Notamacropus eugenii: one gene and its partner. The protein of the gene in region 2 purifies or fractionates together with the protein of the main gene of each other region. This does not show direct contact. Links are inferred from orthologs where the notes say so. Each region holds a gene or a part of one and is shown on either strand. Other genes may lie near its edges. The genes, in order: GEMIN2 and NCKIPSD.

The links.
Region 1: the proteins of NCKIPSD (region 2) and GEMIN2 purify together in Homo sapiens (co-immunoprecipitation; 3 studies listed by BioGRID and IntAct, counting the BioPlex papers as one, with this or other methods). This does not show direct contact. The link is inferred for Notamacropus eugenii from reciprocal best matches to the Homo sapiens genes NCKIPSD and GEMIN2.

Annotation. Positions count from the first base shown.
Region 1 is NC_092872.1:331,897,200-331,904,750, reverse strand, and holds the start of GEMIN2 (gem-associated protein 2), read right to left. Parts: upstream 3,077-7,551; 5' UTR 1-3,076. UniProt on the Homo sapiens protein: The SMN complex catalyzes the assembly of small nuclear ribonucleoproteins (snRNPs), the building blocks of the spliceosome, and thereby plays an important role in the splicing of cellular pre-mRNAs.
Region 2 is NC_092872.1:7,812,460-7,819,882, reverse strand, and holds the start of NCKIPSD (NCK-interacting protein with SH3 domain), read right to left. Parts: upstream 3,068-7,423; 5' UTR 2,966-3,067; coding exon 2,795-2,965; intron 1-2,794. UniProt on the Homo sapiens protein: Has an important role in stress fiber formation induced by active diaphanous protein homolog 1 (DRF1). Induces microspike formation, in vivo. In vitro, stimulates N-WASP-induced ARP2/3 complex activation in the absence of CDC42.

The DNA of each region.
Region 1 (7,551 bases), about 320 Mb from region 2:
GGTGGGTCCTACTAAACTGAAAAGACTCACCTGACAGACTGTATTTCTTGTTTGAAGTCCAGCCAAGCTAAATTTATGGCAATTACTAGGTTGGTGAGTAGTGATGAATTTGTGGGCCATAGCAATTTTTGAAGATAGAATATTAACTTGTAAGAGGGTTTCAGTGGTGAAGAAAGTATACCTACACCATTGTAACCACAAATCTGTTGAGTATTGAAATGACATACATGCATGGTGACTTTAGTACTGCTGAAAAAGCAACGTGGTTTTTTTTTTTAGAGTACTTGAGGGTTTCCTGGGTTCCTTGATAATTTCATAGCCTATTATTTGAAGTAATTCACATGCTGAAGGGCAAGAACAGCTTTAATAAAGTTATGTTTTACTTTCCTTCATGTTGTATGGATTTTTTTTCCCACCTTTGCATTCTTCTATGCTATTTCCTCTTCCTCTGTCAACATATATCAGGACAATGCTGTTAAGGTACAAATGTGGTGATCCTAACTACCTTAGTTAGTGAAAAGACTTGTTAAAAATTCTGTGTGCTCCCAAACAAAATATTTTTATTCAAGTGAATTCTTTCAGAAAGATTTATGTAATGAGGCTGACTTGATTTGGTTCACAGGGAAGATAGAATAGATACATCTCCAAAGGCCCTTCTCCAAGGGAGATTTCATTTCTTGCCAGGGGGGGAAGCAGGAGGTTAGAGGAACAGAGCCTGACTGCTCTGATGTTCTTAGAGTGAGGGAATACCAGGCTAGACTTATATTAAATATTATTAGCCTAGGAAATGGAATTTTTAGGTTCAAGCTAAATTCCTAATTGCTATTCATTAATGGTGAAAGAAGGACCCCAAGTTTAATATCCAAGACTTGACCCTTTTCCCAGCAAATACCAGTTCCATAAGGAATATACAAAACAAAAACAAACAAAAATAAAAACCCACCTTTTGAGCTGATAGAAAATATAAACCAGAGAAGGTATACATATGAGAAAAGATACTTCAATAACACAGACTGAAGGAACTCTCCCATTGGATCAAAGTTCTATATGTCACCTTCTTGCCAGAGTCTTTCTTCTTTCATGGTCCCTAGGAGAGTTCCTCACGTGGCTTCTCTCTCTACACTGGAAGCTACAAGTAGGAAGAGACTGAAGATCTCTTTTTTCTCCCCTGTCTACAACTGTCCCCTCATGTATTCTCAGGGTATTGATCTCCACAATGAGGAGAGAGTCCCATACCATTGGGTTCTGGGATTCAAGCTTACATTCACACATCCTTTTTTTTTTTTTTTTTTGCAAAATAGATTTTAGTTCTGAAATAATATGAGTAAATGAAAAGGATAGTTCAAAACTGATATTGTAGGAAATCATGTGACCTAACATAATATGCTTAATTCCTCACTGTCTCCCCCCCTTTCCCCCACATCCCTTCAGTTGCCAAGCCTTGTTGATTTTACCTTTGCACTATCTTTTGTATAGGCCCACTTCTGTGACACTGCCAATACCCTGGGCAGGTCCTTATCATTTCACACTCAGAATAGTCTTCTTGTCTCTGTTCATTCCAGTCTCTCTTCTGCTCCTCTGTCAAATTGTCTAACCATGTCATCATCCAATAAGCTACAGTGGCTCCCTGTTAACTCCAGTATCAAAAATACGTTTGATTTTTAAAGCCTTTTAGAACCTGGCCCCTTCTTACTTTTCCAGGCTTCTTATATCTCACTCCCCTCCACACATTCTATGATACCATGAGATGGACCTCCATGGTGTTACTTTCAAGAGACACTACAGCTCCCAGCTTGATGCATTTTCACTTGCTGTCCCTCATGCCTAGAATTCCCTCCCTCCTCATTTCTGCCTTCTGATTTCCCTGGCTTCCTTCAAGTCCTGGCTAAAATCCCATCTTCCTATTATCATGAGTCTTTTCTCAGAATCCCTTTCTCTGTCTCTAGACTCAGCTCTAGATAGTCCTTGTTTAGTACTGTCTTGGTCTTTCAGAAAGAACATGGACCTTTTCCCTAGAACTGACAGAGGTTTTTCCAGTGCTTCTTCCCTGGAGCCTTAGTTTTGATTTGCTGTCACTCAGCAGGAGGTGGAAAAGCAGGGTATTCTTGGCAAACTAGTGAATTTGAGATTTACTTCTCCTTTATACATAATTGAGAACTCTTGGTAAGAAACTTAATGTGACTATTCGGTACATTTCTTACATCTTCATCTCTATAAGCTAGGCTGTTACCAGGAAATGGCTGTTTCCTTAATGTAGAATTCAGGGTTCCCTAGTTTTTTAAAAATTCTAAATACAGACAGTTCTCACTTTACAGAAATAGATCATTCCGTGGACCTCTGTGTAAAGTGATTTTTATGTAATGCGAATTCCCCCCCTCCCCAGCCTATATAGCAGAGGCATATACAAAATAATTTGTTGCTGTTTAATCATATCTGATTTGTCATGACTACATATGGGTTTTTCTTGGCAAAGATACTGGAATGGTTTGCCATTTCCTTCTTGAGTGGATGAAGGCAGACAGAGGTTAAGTGATTCACCTAGGTTCACTTAGCTAGTGAGTTTCTGAGACAGCCTATGACTTCAGGTCTTCCTGACTCCAGGCCCAGTGCTCTATCCATTGAGCCACTTAGCTGCCTCCAAGGCAAACAGAGGTTAAGTGACTTGCTTAGGGTCACACAGCTAGTAATTCAGATATACCTGACTCCAAGTCTAGTATTCTGTCCACTGAGGTCTAGATACCTCCTACAAAGTAATACCTTTATGCAAGTCATAAAATATACTAAAATGTAGACATAATAAATACAGTGCCATGATAATGAAGAGCAATGAAATGACAGGAAAAGTTAATGATAAAGTGTGTACAGCACTATACAGTAAAATTAATATAGGTATACAGTATGTTGCCCCTTCCAGTTGGCTGTACAACTTTTTAAAAATAAAATTATTGAGAGATGTTTAGTCAGTGGCTCTTTTCTTTTCCTTGTATGTTTGACGGTTATAAGCAATATTATCTTCAACTAGTCTTTGAACTTAAAAATCTCAAAGTATTTGGCTCCATCTTTGCAAAGCAAGAAAAAAAATTCACTCAAATTATGAAATACTTCAGCAAGCTGTTTCATTGTGAATCTTTTTGGTTTTACCTTAGTTCTGAAGCTTCCCCTTCCTCTTCTGCATTCTTTGCAGCTAGCAGCTCAATCAAATCTACATTCAATATTTCTTCCCTATAAGATTCAATCAACTCCTCCACATGTTTCTCATCTGCTTCTAGCTCCAATTCTTGTGCTAATTTTACAATATTGTTACTCACTTATTACAGTGTTTCATCTTTGTCAAATTCATGAAAATCAGGAATAAATTAGTCATACTTTTTAAAAAAACTCTTCATACATGTTTCTGTTATATCTTATCATTCCTTAGCAGTATTTCAGGTTGCATGGTAAATATTATAGGACTTCCAGAAATCTCTCAATATGAAGTGCTTATCTGCATTCAAAGCTTCAGTTGCCTGGGCAAATGAATGTGTAAACAGTATGCCTTGAAATTTACAATCACTCCCTGATCCATAACTTGAAATAGGTAGTGTTAGGGGGAAGGCAGACCATTTAACATTTTCATTAAAATCATCTAGATAGGGAGGATGACCTGGGACATTATCCAAAATAAGTAGAATGTTGAAAAGAATGCCATTATTATTATAAAACTTCTCCACTTCGGGAGTGAAGCAGCGCATAAATCCTCATTCAAAGATGATAAAGGTTATCCATGCCATAGGGTTAGCAAAATAACGCACAGGTAGTGTGGCTGTGCTGATTCCTTTCAATGATCTGGGATTTTCCAAGAGATGTATGTACAAGAGCAGGTTTTAATTTGCAAGTCCCAGATATGTGCCCTCCAAGCAGAAGAGTAACTCTGTTTTTTGAAGTTTTATGCTCCAATATAGTTTTTTCCCTCCACCAAGATGTAGATTTGAGATATTTGATACAATAGGCCAGTTTCATCTATACTAGGCCTGCACAACCTATGGCCTGCCAAAGGATTGTGGGTGGCCTGCAAAAAATGTAGAGGCTACATTTCACAGGCACCCAGAATCGTTTGGCAGGCTTGTGGGGTTGTGCCGGCCAGGTCTACATTAAAGATTTGCTTGAGCAAGTAGGGATCATCATCTATTATTTTTTGCAGGAAATCTGGAAACTTCTTTGCTGCTTCAATATTTGCACTAGCAGTCTCTCCTGACACTTGTACATTATGAAGTCATGCAAGATTTTTAAATCATACAAACCATCTGCTTGCTATAAATGCCTGTGTTCTTTTATGGTACTTTACTTTTAAATCTTCAAAGAGGTTTTGAGCCTTGGCTTGAATTTCACCAGACTCAAAGGAATATTCTGATTCTGGTCTTCTATGCACATAGTGAATAGTTTCTCTATCTCTAGAATAGCATCTTCTCTTTGTTTTGATAGATAAGTCAACTTCATGCAACCCTTTGCCTTTTGCAGTGCTTTATTTGGGCATCATCTTTCACTATGGTGTTTATAGTTGACACTGCAAGACTAAGTTTACATACTATTGATGACAATTTTGGCCTCCATATTTTATAATTATTTTCATTTTCCTTTCCAAATCTATTTGCTTGCGCTTATGAAATGGTTCACTTTTCCCCCTTAAGACTGACCGCATTTGTTACCAGTCATGGTGAAAGTGTAAGGATCACTATTGAACACAGGGAGAGAGGCACAGCATAACCGTATACAGACACATGGGGACAGACTTAAGATACTTCTCAGCTTCCCACCACCATTTATGCTGTTTGTATCATACTAACAGTATCTACTTTGCATAAGAAATTTTCTAATTTTTTTGTCTAATTTTTTTCGAATTTTGTTTTTCAGAACTCAGTAAAAGTTGAGTTTGCAAGAGTTTTAAAAATCTGTAATAGCCTAAGGGACTCAGTTCTTGAATATTTTGTAATCCAATGGAAGTTTTTGTGGGAAGACTGGCCAATGAGGGCCCAATCCTTAAGGCATGCTTGAATTTACTCTTCCTTGTTGGTTCTATTTCCATTCAAGTTGTGGAGCCTAGTGATTAGGGGACTGATTCAAGAATTGCTGTGAGCCATTGGGGGAGTGGGGGTGGGAGAGGCAGTAGCAGTAGATGCCACCCTGTCTTTCTGCCCAGCCACCACATGTCCTTGAATACAAACCTTTCTCTTTCCTACTTTGTTTTTATTATTACTTACTAGTATTCTTAGAAGTGAATCTCCAGGCAATCACTGTGTTCAGAGAGCCATCAAAGAGTTCTTGCCAGCAACCAGAGCCATATCACTTCGTCAGCAGTGGTGGCCAAGTCTGGTAAGAATCAAGCATAGCAGCTGTTTGGCCCAATCCAGCAATGGACTGACATGTCAGTCGGCAAACCATGCTGGCAAGGAATCAGCCTAAATGAGCAAGGGACTGACTCATCTATCAATGATACAATGCCCAGAAGCAAACCTGTTGGGGACTCAGAGAGGAGAAAAGGATTGCTCACACCAGTACTTCCACATTATGGCTTTCTCCAGCTTGGTTTAGATATATAACAGGTTGGCATAAGAAATTAAATGGGAAATATTGGGGAATTTTGTGGAAGCCACAGATGACACGTGAAGGCTGGCAGACAACACAGAAAAAGTTTAGAAACTCAGAGATGCATAAAATATATGTATAGTATTGTGTATCAACATATTTTATTTTTTAATACCATAATAATTCAGACTTCTTCTCTTTTACAATGAGAGGGCCAAAAACTTTTACACTTATTTTCCAGATCTGGGGGAGTGGCACTGTTCCCCTAATGCCAATGATGTGGAAGGGATAACTGTACTTGTAAGGTACCTCTGGATCCCACTTGTTCCCTACCTGTGTGCTTCACACCTTTGTGATCTAAACTTGAGCACATTCTCTTCAAGGACTATGCAGAGAGGAGAGTTTGCTTTGGAATTGGGGAATTGCTTTGTAACTTCTGTCTTTGCTATATCTTCCCATTATAGAGGAATTGATACCAATTGATTGGTAGATACTGGGGGGCACAGTGGATGGGGGCTCATGGGCGACAGTATTACAAATCCTAGCCCCTCAAGGTCACTCCTAGAATCCTGAGGGGAGTAAATTCATTGCCTTCTGGGGAACCTAAACTGCTGTCTAGTGTGAATTGGGAGAATTAGCAGAGAAAGGGTGTTACAGAAGTACTATAACTTTGAGACTTCCTGAACAAATATTGGCCTTTGTTTTGCAAGGCTTTTGTTTGTTTTACAATGGATTTAGCTGGCAAAAACTTGTCTCTAGAACCAGGATGTAATCATTAGCCCTTTCACTGAGAGATGATGAAATAGTACTTATGAGCTGTTAACTAGGCAGTTGAGCACTGTAGAGAGACCCTGCCTAACTACAAGAAACCTAGCAGAATTTCCATGGATAATTTGTCAGCATAAATCTGAAAAAGAAGAAATAAAGGAGACAAAGTCTTAAACTTTTTGACAGTCAAGCAGTGCAAGATTCGGTCGTGATATTTTTTTCTTGACATTTTGTAAGTGCATTTTTTTTTTAGCACTGAATAATATATTAGCATATTTTTTCCTTTTTTTTCTCTCACTGGAAACTAGGAAAAAGTAAAGAGGAATATCTATTTACAAGACTAACTGCAATATACAATGGCTATTGAACTAACAATGGAATTCATGCAATATGTGGGAAAACATATGGTTCACAGGAAAAAGAAAAAAATGGTCAGAATAGAGCGCTTGTGTTCCCAAACCATAATAATGAATTATTTTTCAAAAAGGTAAGTAACAATTTATTTAAATGAATTAGCAATTCTGAAAATTTGACATGATTTTGATTCTAATATTGAGAGAAGACATAAATATATTATATCAGTAGTGTATTACAGAGGGGTGATAAATTCATTTTACAAAATTCAGAAAGACAACTGATGATGGTTTGCTTTTATGGGCTATTGTAAATGACCTTAAGGCTAATGAAAGAATTTTATTGTATGCTTGTATGAGTACCCAGACCTTTGGTGAAATGTGTCTTGCAAGGCAATGACGACAAATGGCTACCAAGAGTAAGGCTTTTGGGGACGTTGAGTATGGCTGACTGGTTGAACAGTTATTGGAGATCATTGCTGTTTGTCTCTCACTGATTCCAGTACTACCATTGATTGATGGCTGTTGTCTATGGATGCTAAATGAAAACCTATCCTTCTAACTAGCCAGAACTATGCTAGCTGGAACTGCATGAGGGAAATGCAGTTGATAGGCTGATGTGCAGTCTGTGGGGAGAATGGAGAATAATGAAGGGAAAGAGGACAGTTTCACCCTAAGTACAATCTTTCCTGGAGGGTGGGGGCTTTCTGAATCTGAAGAACAACCTAATATTAGAAAGATTAGAAAGTCTCAACACCAAAAAATGATGCATTTCGTGGCTACAGCAACTTCTGAAACCACCAAAGTATCAAGAAGTTGCAATTTGTGCATTGGGAGAGTTCTCAGGTTGATGACATCATAGATCCTT
Region 2 (7,423 bases):
CCTGGGTCTGGCAGCCTAGTCACCTTTGGACTTTAGCTTACGCTTTATTGTCCTGGAACATCCTCATGGGAGCGCAAGATTTCAAAGGGAAGGGACCTTATAGGCCATCTAGCCCAAACGCCATCTTCACCATTCTACAGATGAAAAACTGAGGCCCAGAGAGGGGAAGGAATTTGGTAGAGTCACTCCATTAGTAAGTAGCAGAGCTTCATTTCTCCTGACGCCCATGTCTTGGGCTCTCTCTATCACATCACACTGCCTCCTAAGGAAGCTGCCTTATAAAGGTTAGTACAGTCCTATCCTGGCCATACTCTGAGGGGAGAACCACTCTGGTCCCACAGGTACTGAATAAGGTTGGGGATAGGAAGTTCAGTAGGTGACCCAGCTTAGAATGGGAAGATGTCCTGGAAGAATCCAGGGAGCCAAGGTTGGCACAGGAGGGGCAAGACCAGGATGGGAGAGCCAGGGACAGCAGAGGGTGCTGAGTCTTGCCTGTCTTTCAGAACAAGGACTGAGCAGGTTCACAGTGCAGAGCCTGGAATGCTAACATTGCTAGGTGCATCCCTTAGTCTAGGACTGTTGAGAAGAAAATGCTTTGTTAACATTAAATTACATTTATAGAGCATTTTATCATCACCATGATTATTAAAATGTCACAGATCAGAGTCATGAATGCGACAGCTCACGTCAGACCTGCAGGAGTACAGAATGCCTCAACCAAAGTCAGAAAGAAACATCTGGAAATCCTGTTAGCTGCCCCACCCAGAGCAATGAACAGGCTGAAGCCCTTCGGAAAGGCTCCCCAGGATCCCCAAGAGATACTGCCAAAAGGAATAAAGACCAGCCCTGTAGAAAAGAGGTCTCCTCAGTAGTGCCACTTCCTATCATCCCTCAGACACCATGGGAAGTCACTGCACCACTTGGCACCGCAAGCCTTTTGAGGTTCTTATATACCCCCCTTAATCCCACAGCGTCTAATAACCTTCTCCCCAAGGCTGATCCAACCTGGTTCACTCTACACACCCCAAAAGCAAGGGTAATAAAAAGTTGTCCTGGTTTCCCCTTCTTCCTCTACCCACTCCCTTCCCCCCAAGGCAAGTCTCACAATTTTGTCTTCAGTTAATGGCTGGCAAGACCTAAATCAGAGACATTGAGAGATAGAGAAGAAGGAAGAGGAGAAGAGAGAAAAGGAAGTGACTAGGTATCTCAGGCCTCTGCCCTGGCACTGGAGGAGACACCTAAGAAGGAGATCCAAGTGCTAGGGTCTTATCATCTAGACTTTCTTGTCCAACTTCAACCCTCCTTTCCTCAGCTCAGTTTTGACCTCATCACCAGTGGGCTGGGTGTCTGCCTGTTTCCTGAGCTCCCTAAGAATATCCTTCCCTTCCCCCACCTACTCCAGTTTTCCCCAGAAGGCGCCAAATGGACCCACGGACCAAGACCCAGACAGACAAACAGGAGAGCTCTAAATCCCTACCCAGGGAGGGGCTGCTGTATGACATTCCTTTGACAGAGCTGTTCAGGGACACTGTTGCAGCTATGCAAAGCCACACGTGCACACACAGATACAAGCAGGATCTCACAAATACTGTCAGTCATGACAGGGACTTTGTATGTAGCCACTGACAGCCATGGGAATATATAAGCTGTTACAGCTGGAAGGACCTTAGAAATCATCTAGTCCTTCATATTACAAAATGGGGAAACCAAGGCCCAGAAATGTTATATGATATACCCAAAGGTATACTTCTCTGAAGAGGCCTTATACAGGAGGCCATTGTAAAAGATTCCTCCTCCCCTCACACCTCATAGAGCTACATGAGGGGGCAGAAGTCTGAACCAGAGGTGACCCCAACAATTGTCCATGAGAAACCCCAAATGAATAGGTCAGATAGAATTGTCAAACTTCTGTCCCTGCCTCCACAATACCAAACACAGGAATTCTTCCAGGAAGCCTACCCTGATCACTGGCACACCCATTCATCTACTTCTTTCCACCACACACATTTAGGTTTCTGTCTTAAAGAATCAAGGCCTAGGCTTTCCAAAGGCAAGAATCATCCTCATCCTCAGACCTGGGCTCTCCAAGAACAGGAATGGATCTCACAGACAAATCTGACTTTTCCCAGTGGAAAAAGGTCCGTTCCTCAGACTGGAGGCTGAAGTGCCCAGCCAGCCGCAGCTGCTATTTCTCCAAATTTAAAGGGTTATTTCTGTCCTGAGAGCTGGTTTGGGAACAAAACGATGCTCACTATAGACAAGGGGCACTCCCAGTCCAACTCACAAACCTTCTCAAACACCAGCACCCCTCTCCTGGCCCTAAGGCAGAGTCAACCTCCCTTTCCCATCGGGACTGAAGTCTCACAAGAAGGGGGTGAGGGGGTTTCCACCATCACCTTCCTAAGATGTGGGGGATAACATGGGAGTGGGGAAAGAACTAGCGGGAACAAGGGGCGAGGCCAGTCCTCCCTCCATCCCACCCCCCTCCCCACAATCCCGAGAAGCCAGCCATCCCTGGTCAGGGGCAGACGAGCAGGCAGAGGGAGGGGATCGGAAGCCAAGCCTACCCCTCCCAGGCACGCCCCGGGCCAGAGCTTCCTCGGACCCCTCCCGCCAAGGTCTGGGCCCGGGGCCCCTCCGAAGGCTCCCCAGTGGCCGCGATCTTGGGGTTCCTTAGGGGGCGGGGCTCTCCCAGGGCCGAGCGATCCAGGCCCGGGGTGGGGATGGCCCCGGGGGGGCGGGATGGCCCCGGGCAGGGGGGATGGCCCGGGGGGGGGCCGCGGGCAGCGCTGACCTGCAGGCGCCGCAGGTAGGCCGGGGGCACGTAGCCGGTCTCCCCGCTGCGGGCCCGGGTCGCCAGCCACCAGTGCGGGCTGCTGTGCTCCAGGATCAGGAAGGTCTCCCCCTCGCCGAAGGGCAGCGAGTTGGGCTCCGACGAGCGGAAGGCGTACACCGAGCGGTACATGAGGCCTAGGCGCCGCCGCCGCGGGCTGGAGGGGCCGGGAGCCGGGAGCCGGGGACGCCGGGGTCCAGGGGCTGCCGCGCCGGCTCCGCCCCGTGACACCACCGCGTGCGCGCTCCCGACCCGCTCCCCCCCGCGGAGCCCCGCCCTCGTGGCGGAGCCCGGCCCCCGGGGCGCGCCCGGCCCACGCGCGACAGCCTGACCCCCCCACCCCCCCACCCCACCCCACCCCCGGGGCTCGCGTCTGTGCCTGGGCGGGGGGCTTCGGCGCAGCCCCGGGCCGCGGTGCCCCGGGGCAGACCCCGGGGAGGTGCCACACTGAGTTATCGTCACCCCTCCGCGCGTGGCTCCCTGAAAGCTGCCGCCAGGTACAGGGCACCCTGCCCCCCACGAGCACAGGGAACAGCCCTGACGCGTCACCTGAGCTAAGGCATGGATAAGACCGATTAGCCAAATAAAATGTCAGCATTTCTTGCAACCAGTCTACGTCCTAGTGGATTGACTCCTAGGCAGTTACCCCTGGTACCTAAAGATTAACACAAGGGCACGCAGCCAGGTGGCACGGTGCAGAGAGTTCATGAATTGAAATCTTCCCTGTTGCTGTCATACGTTGATGGATGGCACAGTGGGCAGAATGCCAGGCCTGGAGTCCGGAACATCCAAGTTCCGATGTAACCTCAGTAACTTTCTAGCTGTGTGACCCTGGGCAGGTCACTTAACCCTGTTTGCCTCAATTCCTCATCTGTCAAATGAGCTGGAGAAGGAAATGACAAGCTGCTGCAGAAAATCCCATGGAGAGTGTGCGCTTACGGTTCACAAGGTCACAAAGAGTTGGACACAACTGAACAACACAGCTAGGAAGTGGCTGAGGCAGGGTTCTAACTCATGTCTTCTTGATTCCAAGACCAAGGTGAAATCCAATTCATTCACACAAGGTTTTACTGGCACCAAAACTGAACCCTGAAAAGATTTTTAGAGGCGATTCAAAAAGCACATTGGTACCCTTAAAACATAGGTCTATGTCATCCCCTCATTTGAGAAGCTCCAGCGGTTCATTATTGCCTCTAAGAAAGAATACACTTTAAACCCTTTACCAACTTTCTTTCCAGAAACTATTGGATGTATTTCTGAATACATCTATCTCCTTTGCCCTGCATGCCTGGAACGTTCTTCCTCACATCTATCCCTTGTAATCCCTAGCTTTCTCCAAGGCTCAAATATTACATGTGGACTTTTCTTTAATTCATCTCAAAATGTTATACTTCCACCAGAATATAAGGTTCCTCAGGGCAGAGATTATTTTGGGGTACTTAGTACAGTGTCTTTCATATAGTGTACACAATAAATGCTTGTTCAATTGAGGAGATGAGGAGGCAGTGGTTTCCAAGCATGGTGGATAACTTGTGCAAATATATGAGGCAGGACATGAAGGACTGAATTGTTGGTAGTCTAGTTGGACTAGGATATATAGTGCATGAAGGGAAATAATGTGGAAACAAGACTAGAAATGTAGACTGGAACCAGATTATAGAGGGCCTTGAAAGAGAGTCTAAGGAATTCATATTAGAATCGAGATCCCCAGGGAAGTGTCATATTCAGACTCTTACCTTGGGGAGATCATTTTAGAAATTCTGTAAATGACAAACTGGATAAAGGACAGCCTTGAAACAGGAAGATTGGTTAGGAGGTGATGACAATATTGCAGGTAAGAAGTGATGCAAATTTGTGCTAAGGTGGTGGAGTTAAGTGAGTAGAGTGAAGGAAATGGATGTGAGGGATGTGGAAATTGAACTGATAAGACTTAGCCAATGTTTGGATGGATCCAGCGAGGGATAGGAAAGAATTAAGGATGACTGAGGTTGTGACTGAGCAGATAGTGGTGCCTTTAACAGAAATATCAGGGTAGAGAGAAGGGGCAGTACAGTGAAATTAGATATAGATTGAGAGTTGTACCTTCTGCATGTATCACCCTGGGAACATGCCCTAGTAATTGAGCCCAGTGTAGAAAACTGTGGGGCAAACACTGACTGAGCTCCAGCCAAATCCCCTTTACAAGTTCTCCCACCTAGCATCCCTGTTTTCTTTTGCCACACACACTCTGAAAGGGCAGGTTTCTCTAACAGGAGTCCAGACCTGAGTGGAGCAAAGTTATGGTTCTGACGATTGCATCCTAAGGAGCTGTAGGTGAGGCAGTGGATAGAGTGCTGGACCAGAGTCAGGAAGATGAGTTCAAATACAGCCTCAGATACTTACTAGCTATGGGACTCTAGACAAGCCATTTATCTTCTGTTTGCCTCAGTGTCCTTGTCTGTAAAATGGGGAATAGCTGCCCCTACCTTATTGTGAGGATCCAATGAGATCACTGTAAAGTGCTTAGTTACATAGTGCCTGCTACAGAGTAAGCATTATATAAATGTTAGCTATTTTTTATTATTATTATCAGTAGGAACATTTCTATACCTAGGGGAACCATACAGAACTAGGACCACCGGGAAACTGTTAACTTCTCTGTGCCTCCATTTATCCTACCTAAAATCAAACAATTGCTGTTAGGACCAAGGAGCTGGGGAAGTACTCATTTTTCTAAAGGACTCCTCTGCTCTGGATCTGTGCACACAGTCAGACTATGTTCAGTCCTGGAGAACCATGGCATCTAATGATATGAGAGCAAAACTTCCTTTTATCACCCTCTCTGGTTTGTTAAACCTCCACTCTGATGCTACGGGACCAAATTATTTAAAGCTTAGGTTTTGTCTCATGTCTAGATCTCCCTAGGGGGTTGGAGTGGGGAATTTATTTTAAAAGGATTCATATGGAAGTCAAGGGGATGTCCATCAATTGGGGAATGGCTGAATAAATTATGGTATATGAATGTAATGGAGTACTATTGTGCCATAAGAAATGATGAACAAGAAGACTTCAGAGAGGCCTGGAAGGACTTATATGACCTGATGCTGAGTGAAAGGAGCAGAACCAGGAGAACTTTATGCACAGCAACAACCACAGTGTGTGAGAGTTTTTTCTGGTAGACTTAGATTTTTGTAATAACACAAGAACTTCTTACCAAAAAAAAAAAAAAATCCCAATAGAGGATCTCAAGGCAAAATGCCTGCCACACTCAGAGAGAGAAATATGGAAGTCACTCACATATTGTAGCAGATCATGTTTGTGTATGTGTATGTGTTTGTGTATCATGTTCTGATTTGTTATACGATTTCTTTCATTTATCTTAGTCTGACTACATAGCATGACTATAGTGAAAATATACTCAATAGGAAAGTATATGTAGAATCTATACAGAATTGTATGCAGTCGTGGGGAGGGAGGGGGGGAGTTGGGGGTAGGTGGGGGGATAAAATCACAATTGTATGGCAGTGATTGTTAAACATTACAAAATAAAAATAAAAAAAAAAAAAGAAAAACTTGAGAAGACACAAAGTGGAGCGAGGAGAACCAAGAAAACACTGTACACAGTAACAACAATATTGTACTATGATCAACTGTGACTGGCTTAGATACTCTTATCAATACAGTGATCCAAGACAATTCCAAAGGGCCCATGATGAAAAATGCTATCCAGAGAAAGAACTGATGAAGTCTGAGTGTACGTTGAAGCATAATTTTTTCACTGTTTTTCTTGCTTTTTTGCAACATGGCTAATATAGAAATATTTTTTGCATGATTTCACATGTATAATTGATATCACATTTCTTGCCTTCTAGTGGGAGGGAGAGAGAGAATTCAGAAGACAAATATTTTTGTAAATGTTAAAAATAAATAATAAACATGAAAGACAAAAAAAAAAGGATTCATAGCACAATTTGAATCAGGTATGGGGCAAATATTTCTTTATAAATTAAATTTTATTTTCTCAATTATAAAGCATCTATTCTTTTCTTCTAACCTCTCCTCCCCCTGATCAAACAAACAAATAAACCCAAAATCCCCAACATACTCAAGCAAAGCAAATTCCCATATTAGCTATATTTAAAGATGTCTCTCATTCTGCATATTAGTTCATTAGTCTTTCAACTCTCTGTCATAAGACTTGTAGCATTATTCATCATTGGTCCTGTGAAAACATAGTTGATCATTGTATTGATCAGAATGCTTAAATCTCTCAAAATATTTCTATTTTGCAATATTGACGTCATAGCATAAATTGTTCTTTCTAAACATTTCACTTTGGATGAGTCCATACAAGTCTTCCCATGTTTCTCTGAAATATGTTTCTTCTATTCTTATATAGTATTCTATTATAAACATATATGTATTATATATAAACATATTTATTTATCTGTTCTCCAACTGATGGGCACCTCCTTAGTTTTTGGTACTTTCCTACTACAAAAACGAGTTGCTATAAATATTTTTGTAAATATAGGTCTTTTTCCTCTTTCTTTAATCTCTTTAAGGTATAAGCCTAGTAGTGTTATCTCTCAGTCATTGGCTAAAGAGAGC